Drosophila melanogaster: one gene and its partners. The protein of the gene in region 1 interacts with the protein of each later gene in a pairwise test. Each region holds a gene or a part of one and is shown on either strand. Other genes may lie near its edges. The genes, in order: CG3078, CG13458 and CG8677.

What was found.
Region 2: the proteins of CG3078 (region 1) and CG13458 interact in a two-hybrid assay, tested with the Drosophila melanogaster proteins (one large-scale study listed by BioGRID).
Region 3: the proteins of CG3078 (region 1) and CG8677 interact in a two-hybrid assay, tested with the Drosophila melanogaster proteins (one large-scale study listed by BioGRID).

What each region holds. Positions count from the first base shown.
Region 1 is NC_004354.4:2,257,674-2,261,427, reverse strand, and holds the start of CG3078 (uncharacterized protein), read left to right. Parts: upstream 1-1,564; 5' UTR 1,565-1,707; intron 1,708-2,686; 5' UTR 2,687-2,953; coding exon 2,954-3,100; intron 3,101-3,161; coding exon 3,162-3,548; intron 3,549-3,754. Other genes in the region: temp (tempura), read left to right, coding at 13-734.
Region 2 is NT_037436.4:15,111,901-15,115,654, reverse strand, and holds the start of CG13458 (uncharacterized protein), read right to left. Parts: upstream 2,099-3,754; 5' UTR 1,886-2,098; coding exon 1,372-1,885; intron 1,312-1,371; coding exon 1,154-1,311; intron 833-1,153; coding exon 688-832; intron 617-687; coding exon 209-616; intron 149-208; coding exon 1-148. Other genes in the region: Ctps (CTP synthase), read right to left, coding at 2,958-3,754.
Region 3 is NT_033779.5:21,219,465-21,223,218, forward strand, and holds the start of CG8677 (uncharacterized protein), read left to right. Parts: upstream 1-1,847; 5' UTR 1,848-2,087; coding exon 2,088-2,322; intron 2,323-2,971; coding exon 2,972-3,153; intron 3,154-3,213; coding exon 3,214-3,663; intron 3,664-3,727; coding exon 3,728-3,754. Other genes in the region: Atg18b (Autophagy-related 18b), read right to left, coding at 796-833.

The DNA of each region.
Region 1 (3,754 bases):
CATTATTTCCAGGTGCCGATGCTATTGACTGGCCCAATGAGATCGGGATATGCGAAAGGGCCGCCGATAGATGCGCCAGCAACTATCACGCCTGGTCGCACCGCCAGTGGATCCTTCAGAACGGCCCATGCCTGCTGCAATCGGAACTGCTACGCACGGAGAAGTTTATGCGGAAGCACATCAGTGACTACAGCTGCTACCACTACCGCCAAGTGCTCCTGAGTCGTGCATATGAGCTCAGTTTTGCCCTTCCCAAGGATTCCGGAGCCAGTGGTTCGTCTACGTTGGCCAGTCTGCAGCATCTAATGACAAGCTATGGCCTGGAATGTGAAGCCAACGCTGAGGATCTGCTGGGTCTCTTGCTACCACATGTGGATCTGAGTTCCGTGAGCAAGCAAAGGCTAATATCATTTCTTTACTGCTGCAACGTTGCCGCCAACGATATGCGTCTGTGTGCCGAGCAGCGCTTGATGTACGGATCGCGGGATTGCTTCGAGCTGCATCGCCGTGCGGCACTCAAGTTCATCGTGGAGCAGTGCGTGCGCCTGCAAATGGGCTTGCCCAATGGCCAACTGTTACCAGTGGCGTCAGGCGATCTGCGTTCGCATTTGGGCAACTTTGACTTTGAAGATAATCCGTTTTTAAGTGCCGTACGGCGCGAGGAGTCCACCCTGGGTGGTAAGCACCGGCGGTGGTGCAATCTTCACCTCAGCTTTGGATATCCAGCGGACTAGACAGCGCGACCTGATAAAGCTCAAATCAATCTACCCCAATAGAATTACTCACTCCCGGCCTTTCCGTTTGCCCATCCGTTCTGAAATGTGGCAAGTGTATAAAGACGTGTGTTTTATTTCCTATCTAATTATCGTCCCAAAAATACAGAAACTTGTGCAAGACAAATTGTTAAAGAGTAAAATACTAGAAAGGAAGACGATTCAAAACGGATTTGGAAACGGAAATGCCTCTATTCTACTCTACTATAAATGTGCGATCCAAAGACAAAGTTCAACTAGCCCGATATGACAACGGATCTCACTGGTCCGCCAATTGCATTTCGATATCTATTAGCGTTACCTGTTCGTTTCTGTTCTTAATCTGATCCGGGCACGATTTGTTAGCCCTTTGTTCAGAAGTAAAACTTAACCGATTATCGCCATGCCATGCACGTGTTTGTTGTTAGCCAATTGCAGTTAGTTTTTAAATAAATCCAAATCATAGACGACGCCTTTTTTATGCAGTTTTGAACGTCGAGCCAGTTCGGCTCGTTCATTTCGAGAATATCGATTCGGTAATGGCCGTAATGAGCACTCAAAATGCATTGTATGGGGGTTTCTTTTGCGCAGAGCAGTTGTAATATGGGATGGTATCGTTTTGTGGCGGTGCAGCCACAGCCATGACATCCCATCCCTTCCCCGAGTGAACTGGGGATTGTGGGGTAACGAGTATCGATTGCGCATGCCTGGGATGCGAGGTGGGATGTGCGAGATGCTGCCGAAGGCCTGAGATGACAACAATTTCAGCAGCGGACTCAGAATCGCCAGGCCGTAATCCCTACCAGCTTTTCAGTGTGTTTCTGGAGCAGTTCGCGTGCGGCGGTGTTTTGTGGAGTGTTGAGTGGCGAAAGTGCTGGCTTCTTTGAAGGCTTACAAACAATTTGTTTCCGACTCGTCGAAAAAAAGTGCATTCCAGTCAACCGAGAAATCAAAAGTAATAAACAAAGTATATTATTCGATTTTTTTTTTTAGTTTGCTGAACGGGGTTCCGTTTGTGGATACATGTGTACAGGCCAAGAGGATTTCAAGGGAGCATTGCATCGAGAGTGTGTGTGCGCTTTTCTGTGCCCGTCTTTGTTTGGTTTTAAAATATTCATATTCGTTTTCCATCCGCCCTCTTTGCATTTTTTATAACTCCCACCCACTTTTCCTGGCCCAAGGGGCGTGGGCCCAAAACTACGCCTCCATCGCAGTTCACTTCATGGGTGTGTGGTGTTCGTGAGGGGTGGGGGTTAGTTTATGATGTTTATGAGTTGATTATGGGCTGCAAAGTACTGTGCCATTGTCTTCGGGACCTGTTCCCTCCGGGCATCCCCAGGATCTTGTCCTGCACCATCCCGTCGTGTCCTGGAAATATACCTCGGAATACCTGACCCTGGGGCACCATCGGCTGCACATGTGTAGATAACACAAAATGGACACACCTGATGATTTTGTGCCAGTGTGGGGGGTGGGGTGTGTGTGCGAAGTTCCTACGGCCAAGGGAGCTATACTCGCGGCTGCACTAATAGCAGCGGCTAATAGGCACATTATTGAGTTGCCAAGTAATCCTACTAGTGGAAACTCAATCTAATTGGTGAGCATTAAGGTGCCACTTCCTTAGGACTTCAATCAGATTAGGATTAGCTAGCCTAGAAGCTTATTATTCCCACCATCCTATTTTTGCGACCGCGAGTGCCAGTGAATGTGCCAGAATGTAGTGAGTAAGTAACGGTAACGGCAACGGAAAGAACATGTGCGCATACGTAGGGCCTATGGCCCACATAAGTATGCAGTGCACGTACGGCCAGGTGTATGTGTGTGTGTGTGCGAGTAACGGTTTCCAGGTGCAGGTGTCAACTCGATAAGCAGCCGATAGATGGCGCTGCCGTTCAGGCCTCGCAACTTTTTCATTTCCTGTTTCCACTTCACAGTCATTCCGCTGCAGGAGAACAATATTTGCGTTTTGACACAGCCTTATACGCGGAATTGGGGGCGTGGCAGGTCGGCGGCGGACAATGAACCCGCCTACGCAGCAAGGACAATAATTGCAGACTGGATTGGAATGGGATGCCCGTGGAGCAGCAGCATGAGTTCGCCGTTTTGGAGCGATGGCAGTACTGGATTCGCAGTGGCCCCACAATCCACATAACTCGCACTACGGGCGCTAGGTTTTGATAAGTTGGCAATAATCGCCGGAAATGGGCAGTCTGCCGAATCTTCACGAGCTGGAGGAGGCGGAGCGCAAGCGGGAGAAGCGACGGGAGTACGAACTTCTGCTGGAGCAGCGGGCTCGGGACACCAGTCGCGAGCGGGAGCGTCTCTCCGCGTTTGCTCAGCAGCGCAAGGTGAGATCGCCTGAGTAGATCCCCCCTCCTTACGACTTATGTATTTTTCTACTCCACTCAGCAATCGTCGTATAATGCTTACATAATGGCTGGTCTGGGGATTGGTGGCGGATCCTTGAGCCTCAATGCCACCTCAGGAACTGCAACAGGCAACGGAGAGCTGCTCGGTGGCAATGGGACAACTGGCGGAAAGGGTCCGAACCAGGCAGTGGGCCCAGCTTCTGGATTGGCCACCAGCTCGGGAGCTCCGGTGGCCACCAGTGGCTTTGCGATGCTGGGACTGGGCAAGAAGTATGCCCCACACTCACACCACCATCAGCATCAGCACCAGCATCAGCACCAGCACCAGCACCATCAGCACCGCCATTCGCTGACCACCAGGCACAGAGTGCTTCGAACCCGCAGTTCAGGAGGAGCCCAGAACGTCTGGGAAGAGCAGATGATGGAGGTGAGTTCTCAGGTGAACACATAAAAAGTCCGCCTCTGTGTGAAAAGCCTTTATATAATTCATGTCACTTGCTTTCCGGCATGGTGACACCTGTCGCATATAAATAGAATCTGGGAGCTTATCTCCCTTTTTTCCTGGACACTCAACTATCATGTGGCGATGTGTGCACAAAAGGGGTGCCCTGTGGTCATTGGTGTGTCGTGAAA
Region 2 (3,754 bases), on another chromosome or scaffold:
GCCTCAAATTCGATCTCGGCTCCAATTAAGTGAAGAGTCATCTCCTCGCAGTTTCTGAGGCGCTCGCAAAGTTTCAAGGCAAACCAGGCAGTTAATGGGCCAGTGGACACCTGGGTAAGTGCTGCGTACTCACACTCATTGGTAACATCTTTAAATCAGTATAATAATACATTATAATAAAATCCTTGAATACTTCGTGTTTACTTACTAAAGCTTAGCTTCTTCATCATCTGCTTGGTGTTGGAGCAAGCCATGGGCAGCTCTCTAAGAATCTTACTGGGCAGTGATGGCTCCATGCGGCCGAACTGTTCCTGAAACATGATGAAGGCCTTGAAAATCTGATAGGCTCCACACCACTTGGCGTGCTCCTTGCCTCGGTGCTCCGGCTTATCCTTGCAGAAAGCCACCTCGCCACATCCACCGCACATGGATAGACGTTTAAAGCGATGCTCCCGGCACTTTGAGTCGGCGCAGATCAGTGGAAATAGGAGCAACTCTCTCTCCGTTGCGCTGAGCTGACGATTCATCTCCTTCTCCACCTGGCGAATGCACACGATCCGGAAGGAACGGAACTGTTCGTCACTGAAGTCGCCGCACTTGTAGAACATCTCGTGACCTGCATCCGCCCCATCCAAAATTGGCAATTAGTGTGATTTATGAATTTGTGAATCGCCGAAAGACACTCACCATTGCGGTCCACCGTCTGGCGCAGGGCGTAGCACAGCTGGCGGTGCTCCTGGTCGTCTTTCATGTGCCCACTGCTGCAGTAGTAGCTCAGTCCACAGCGGGAGCAGGGTATCCGATTCTGGCCGCACAGATCCGACTTGCAGAACTGCAAGTATTATAAAAGGCTTAGTAAAATAAAATTGTAAAAAAATCTTATTAATGCGCCCTTTACATTTGTATATAGAAATAGGAGAGTACGCTATAGCCAACTTCCTCGACTATCAGATACCCATTACTCATCTAGCGGGAATGCCACCATTAATGAGCATATCGATAGAAACTGGCAAGAAACCATTTTACCTGTTACATACTTTTCAACGAATCTATTATGCCCTTTTCCTTTAGGAGTGTAGGGTATACAAATGTAGAAGTTTTAAACTATAGTCCCTTCAGCAATTAAGCACAGTTTGTAATGAATACTACCTACATTGCACAGTGAGGCCATAAAATATTGCCTTGGCTTATAGATGTACTCCACATACTCCTCCACTTCCTCATCGGATGACTCGACATCGCTGGGCGGCGCTTGGCTGAAAAGCTTTCCAAGATTGCTGAATAACGCGGCTGCTGGGGATTCACCAGATCCTATCAAGCATATTTTAGTTATGTTGAATTGTATATACTTCCTAATGATTATCTAATTACCCTTTGGCAGTTTGCTGCCCAAGCATTTGAGTAGATCATTTATTTCCTCTTCTTTTGAAATTCCAGATGCCTTGGCTTCTGTTTTGAGTTTTGGAGTAACCGAGGTACTCGAAATCTTTGGTTTCTTTTCTTCACTTTTGATTTCCTTTGGTTGGGTAACTATTTTGACCGGATCAGTTGATGGCTTATTTTCGCTGGATGGCACAGCACTATTTTTGGCCAATAATTTCCTACGTAACAGTTGCTGTATCAGCCGGATTGTATCGTTCTCTTGCGGATTTTCCACTTGACCAATTTTTGATAATGATTCAAGCAGAGAATTTCCACTTGTAAGTAAGGGCTTTTCCACCGGAGGTTTACTTTCTACACCATTTGCCGCTTTTGAGCCATTACTTTTGAGTGAAGACGCAATTGCGTCTGGAGATTCCCCTTGATCCTGTGGCACCTGGTTGATCTTGTTGCGCTGGCGATTCCGAATCCTTGGCTTCTTTTTGTGGACCCCCGACTGAATCATGTTAGCTGCGTTTCTCTTATTTCGAGTGCAAAATTAGCCAGAGCACGTTGCTCAATTGAACGAACAATGAAGAATGCGCATTGTTCTTGGTTGGGAGTCTTGCGGTCCGCCTCGATTCAATTGGCCGCTAGCCATCGCTTCTCATCGCGGCCGCAAGCCCAAATGTATGCCCTGGCTATTTTTGTTGGGCACGGGCCTGACGATGTCTGACAACGCCAGCCGGTATCTGAATCCGCATCCCGCATACGAATCTCAATTCGCATGGGCTAGCGTCCATTATTATTCTCGAGTACCAGCGTTTGATTAATTCTCTGCCTATCTCAACTAATTGCGTCAACAAGCAGAAAATTACACTGAAGTCCACTCTGTGGTGCTCTTTAAAAATATAGTTCTTGGCAGAAAAGGGATTATACATAATCCCTTAATATATTTGTAAGAATTTAGAAAAAACAGTCAGTTTTTTAATAAGGTATCAGTTGCCAAAAAGTATTGATGGAACTGTCGTTAAAAATAGAAGCAACAATTGTTTTCAAAGTATTCCAATAGTTTATGTGTGAACAAAATCATAACAATTGGTATGGATATCTTGAAAAGCGATTTTTCCATAAATTCGGAAACAAATAAGCTTATTTAGCATGTTTCAATTCCAATTTCGAAATTTCGCGCCCAATTTGAAAAGAGAGAAATAGCACACATTTACTTTCCACGCACTATTTCCAATACCGTTCTTGCTGCCCGCTAAGTTCAAAATAAAACACAAACATTTGAAATTGTTCCATTAGTTATTTTTTTTTTCGCATCCAAAAAATATATATGAATTAAGATTTTCATATAAATTAAAAATGTACGGAAAGTAACATCGTAGTTTACTTAAGCTTAGGAGAAATTATAAAGGGTTTCTTATTATTAATGCCTCTTTCATAAAAGGTCAAAATTTTCAATTCGCAAATACCGTATTATACCCACCCAGTAATACTTAAGTTATCCCAAACTTTTGGGGTTTTGCGATAACAAAAGTACGTCTGATAATCGGATGTTAAACACTTTAGGATATAAGATACCGTTCACTAGTTTACTTATGGCCATTGGTAGGATCAACGCCTCCGCAGGCACCTTCGCTGTCGGAAGTGCTTATGCTACCATTGCAACTTTTTGATATTCCATTTGTGGGTGTAATGGGAATTTTCAAGGAGCTCAGCGATTTTGTTGCTCCGGCCAAGCCCACAACACTGTCCTCCTCATCCGAGGATGCGTCGGATAGCTGGCGGGGCGACAGGCGGCAACCGCGCTGAATATATTGGTTCAATCGATCCACTGAGGCCAGGATCAGGCCGAGGAAAGGAGGCGACGGCTTCAGAGGCCGCGACAAGTACTCTGGATGATATTGGGTGGCAACAAAGTAGGGATGACCGCTGAGCTCAATGATTTCCATCCTAGTTTTGTCGACGTCGGTGCCCACAAATCGCATGCCTTGCTCTTCCAGCAGATGCACGTATTTGGGATTAACCTCGTAACGATGCCGATGACGCTCCTGCACGCTTTTCGGATTGCCATACAACTGGCGAATGACACTAGGACCATCAGAGAAAACAGTTATTCGCTTGCCCAAGCGCATAGTGCCGCCCAATTGACCCGTGTGATGCTCTGGCATATCGATGACCAAGGCATTAGCTGTGTTCGGATCGATTTCTGTGGTGTTTGCATCCTTGAGACCAAGTTTATTTCGTGCGAATTCAATGACCGCCGCTTGCAGACCCAAGCAGATGCCAAGCAATGGCTTTTGATTCTCTCGCGCCCATTGGCATGCACGAATCTTGCCCTCCATTCCACGGGAACCGAATCCACCGGGGACTAGGATGCCATGGCTAT
Region 3 (3,754 bases), on another chromosome or scaffold:
CCAATTGTTTGACTTGCGTTTTCGCGTACATTCACCCGTGCTTGATTTGTTACTGATTGGAAATCTCTCTTTTGCTTTGTTTGAGCTATGACAAATTTTTCAGATTATATTCTTTTCGATTCGATTTTCACCACAAATAGTCATATTGATGTTTGCGTTTCTTTCTAAGGCTTGCTCGCACTTCTTCCCTCACCCTGTTCTTGGATGACATCAACGTACCGTGCAATAGCGAAACTGGTTAATTAAGCTCGAGATTAAGGCTGCGTTGATAGCTACAGTGCGCTCCCGCCAGATTGACCCCCTTTGTTTCTTGTCATTTTATTTCATCCTTATCGCTCCGCACTTTCATTTGTTCCTTAGTCATCAGCTGTTGCGCATAAACAATTGATTGTGCGCCAATTGTGCGAGTGTTGGTGTCCCGCACAGTGGCCATCAGAATGGAAATACTGCTAAATCGGTCGCTTGTTGGCCACTGACAGTGTACCGAGTTCGGTTCCCAGCCCCCTCCCGAAACGGGAAAGGCATTCCAAAATGTTAGATGAATGCATGCTATTGTAATTGGAACTGCTTGTTTGCATGTTCTAATAAACTACACACACACACGACACGAAAAATGACGCCAATTCACGCTTACCCACAGACACACTAACGATCCCCGTCCACCTTCCCCACAGCAGCTGTTTTCGCCTTATTTACCCGTCTCATTTGTCGATTTTTGTGTCTCAATTGTTTGCCACTTTTCGCTTTGGTGACCTTCCGGGATTTAAGGATTTAAGCACAGATGTCGCTACTTACGTAAAGTCCTGGTTGAAGTTCATTTGATATGTGGTCATTGCTGCTGAAGATTTGTGCTTTGGTGATTGTATTTTTTTTATATAGTTACACTTTCACTGGTCTTTAGATGCTTTTTTTCAGCGATATTCAGTTGCAGAGTCCCGTCGTTTGAGTACACAAGATATTGATCGACGATGGCAGATGAGCAAAGCGAAATGATTTCACTTGATATTGAAAACTAAATTCGACTGTTTTGCGTCGTCTTTGTTGTTTTGCTGCGACTGTTTTTCTCGTTCTATCTATCAACAAATTCCCCCTACACACAACACACACACACATAAATCATCATCATTGGAACTGGGTTCGGGAACTGAACCAGCCGTGTTCACCAAATGCCATATATACCGTTAAATCATTTGTGTAACGGAAAATGTAAAATTGTTATTAAAAATTGAAATGGACAATATATATACATGTATCCGCATATATTTGCATTGGAAAAATCATAAAATTACCTCATATTTCACACAATTACAGTGCATTTAGTGTGTATATGTCAGTTTCATTTCTTTTTATATAAACATTAAAATAGTTTTTTCCAATAAGTATCTACAATTATCTAAGTGTTGTGTCAAATTTTCTATCAAATCGGAACAAAACAGTGGACGTGTTAAGCTTCTTATAAGGTTCTTCTGTCTTAGCAAAATTGTATTTCCCATAATGTATTTCCCTACTTCAACTTGATCTACACTAAAACTTTATACCTTTTGTTCCTAATTTATATTATAACCTATATTGTTCGTCGATTTAATAAATTTTGCATAGCCTATTTAATAGTAAAACAATTTTTAGATTTGTAACATTTAATACACATTTCATAGTCTAGCGCTAACTTAAAAATAAAACTGTCTTAACGCGAATCTGAGTAAGTTATAAATGTATTCGTAGTTTGTAAAAATCGTTTTCATGCATACGCCAAGTATACTAGAAACTAGTTCCCCAGTGCATCGACTGCCAACTCGCTTCAATTACATGGGTGCAATCTGCAGTATTGTCGAAAAGTGACTGCGCGGCCACACTGAAACTCACAACAGAAAATAAAGCATTTTCGCTTGCTTTAAAATAGGATTTTATCCCGTACAAGAGCTGTCTCGCGGCAAGAAATATGCACCCTCGAAGTCTCGCAGTGCCGTGCGACCAGAGAACTTGATCCTTGGACAAATGACTCGTGTTTGCAGTGCCCGTTTTGAGGTTTTGCCAGAGTAGTATACAACACCCGAAAATTTTCGCTGGTTCTCGGGGACGCATGAAAAATGGCGGCGTCCTCAGCTGCGGCTGCGGCGCCCACCAATCCGATCCCGCTTCCGACGGACTCCATATCGGAGGAGTGCAAGGACGACGACGCCCTCACCTCCACGCTGCACACATGCGCCAATGATCCGGACTTTGCGGTCATTTGCGCCTTCCTGCAAAAATTCGGCAAGGACCTGGGTCTTAACCTGCCCAACTTCAAGCATCTGCAGGAGTGGTTGACAAACAACAACGATGGTGAGAGGGTGGGGTGGTGGTATCAAGAGAGCGGGGTGGAAGCAGTTTTTTGCCAAATTAATTTATGTCAGGTTCAATTATCGTGGGGCAAGTGGCGGTGGAAACTACGGATGTAGTGTTTTCGAATAGGTCTGCTCCAGAGATTTAACAATGCTCCGCTCTGGAGAGCGTGCTTGGCTCGTCAGAGAGAAAGAGATTGCTCAATGGCAGAGAGAGCACTGCGATTTGTTTTCATCTCAACACAAGCGCAATATACAAAACAAATCTGGGAGAGACGTAAATATTTCCCACATTTGCTCTGGTCTTCTTATTTGAGAGATAGTAAGAGAGCTACAATTGAACACTAAAAGTTGGTTTTTTTTTTTTAATGTACACCTGCATCTGGAAATATATTAAATATTTAGGGTCACGAGTGGGAGGGAACCTGAAAATATATTTGTTTAAAAAAGTTATAATCATGCTAAGTTTCTACGTTTTGTATGTATTTGCGTGAGCAACAGCAGACACAAAAAGTGTACACTACAACAAACGCGGTTGCATTTATTTCACTTGCCCTCATAATCCACCCACAATCCATTTATATTCCGCTGTCACTTTCTTCCTTTTCGCAGAACTTTTACTAATATTTAATTATAACGAATCTTTGTAGTTCCTGAGCTAAGGGACTTGCACATAAAGCTGCTCCGTAAGACCCGTAAGACGGTTCACGAAAAGAGTTGGGAGTCCGCCCTCAGCAAATTCTGCTTCGGCTACTCGGTGCAAGATGCCTGGGAAATCGAACGTTTCGGTTATAGGAATTCCAGCTTGAAGGTTAAGCTGCGAATATTTCGGGTGAGTAACGAATTTCGTACCACTTGATAAACCGTTCTAAAGGGCGTCTTTCCCGTACAGGAACTTCTCGAAAGTCAGTTTGAACGCAATGCCAAGTTTCGGGCCCACATCCTCACCTTGAATGCCGATACTTTACGCTCTGAGCCAATTGGAAGGGACCGGTTGGGACATGCCTACTGGCTGACTCAGGATGCCCACTGTAATCTGCGGATCTACCAGGAGCATCTAGACGAGGAAATTTGGCAGGTGGTTGCCACGAACAGGGACGAGTTTGTAAATCTCATTTCAAGGCTGCGCGGAAATGAGGTGGTACTTCCTTCGAAGGACATTGGTGAGGCCGATGAGGACACCAGCAGCAGCAACAGTTGTCATCCCAAACCACCGCCCCCCGAACAGAAAGAAGAAGAGGACGATGAGGAAGTTGGAGATGAGCCCGAAAAAACTGTACCCAATCTAAAGATTAAACTCCGCTCTCCCGAGCAAGAGGATCAAAAGTCTAAAAAGGTTAAGGTGTGTATGGATTTAACCAAGGAGCTTTGCATTTTTAGATAAGATTTCATTCTCGGTCTTTCAGCCACTGCTCATTAGCCAGGCCAAACTT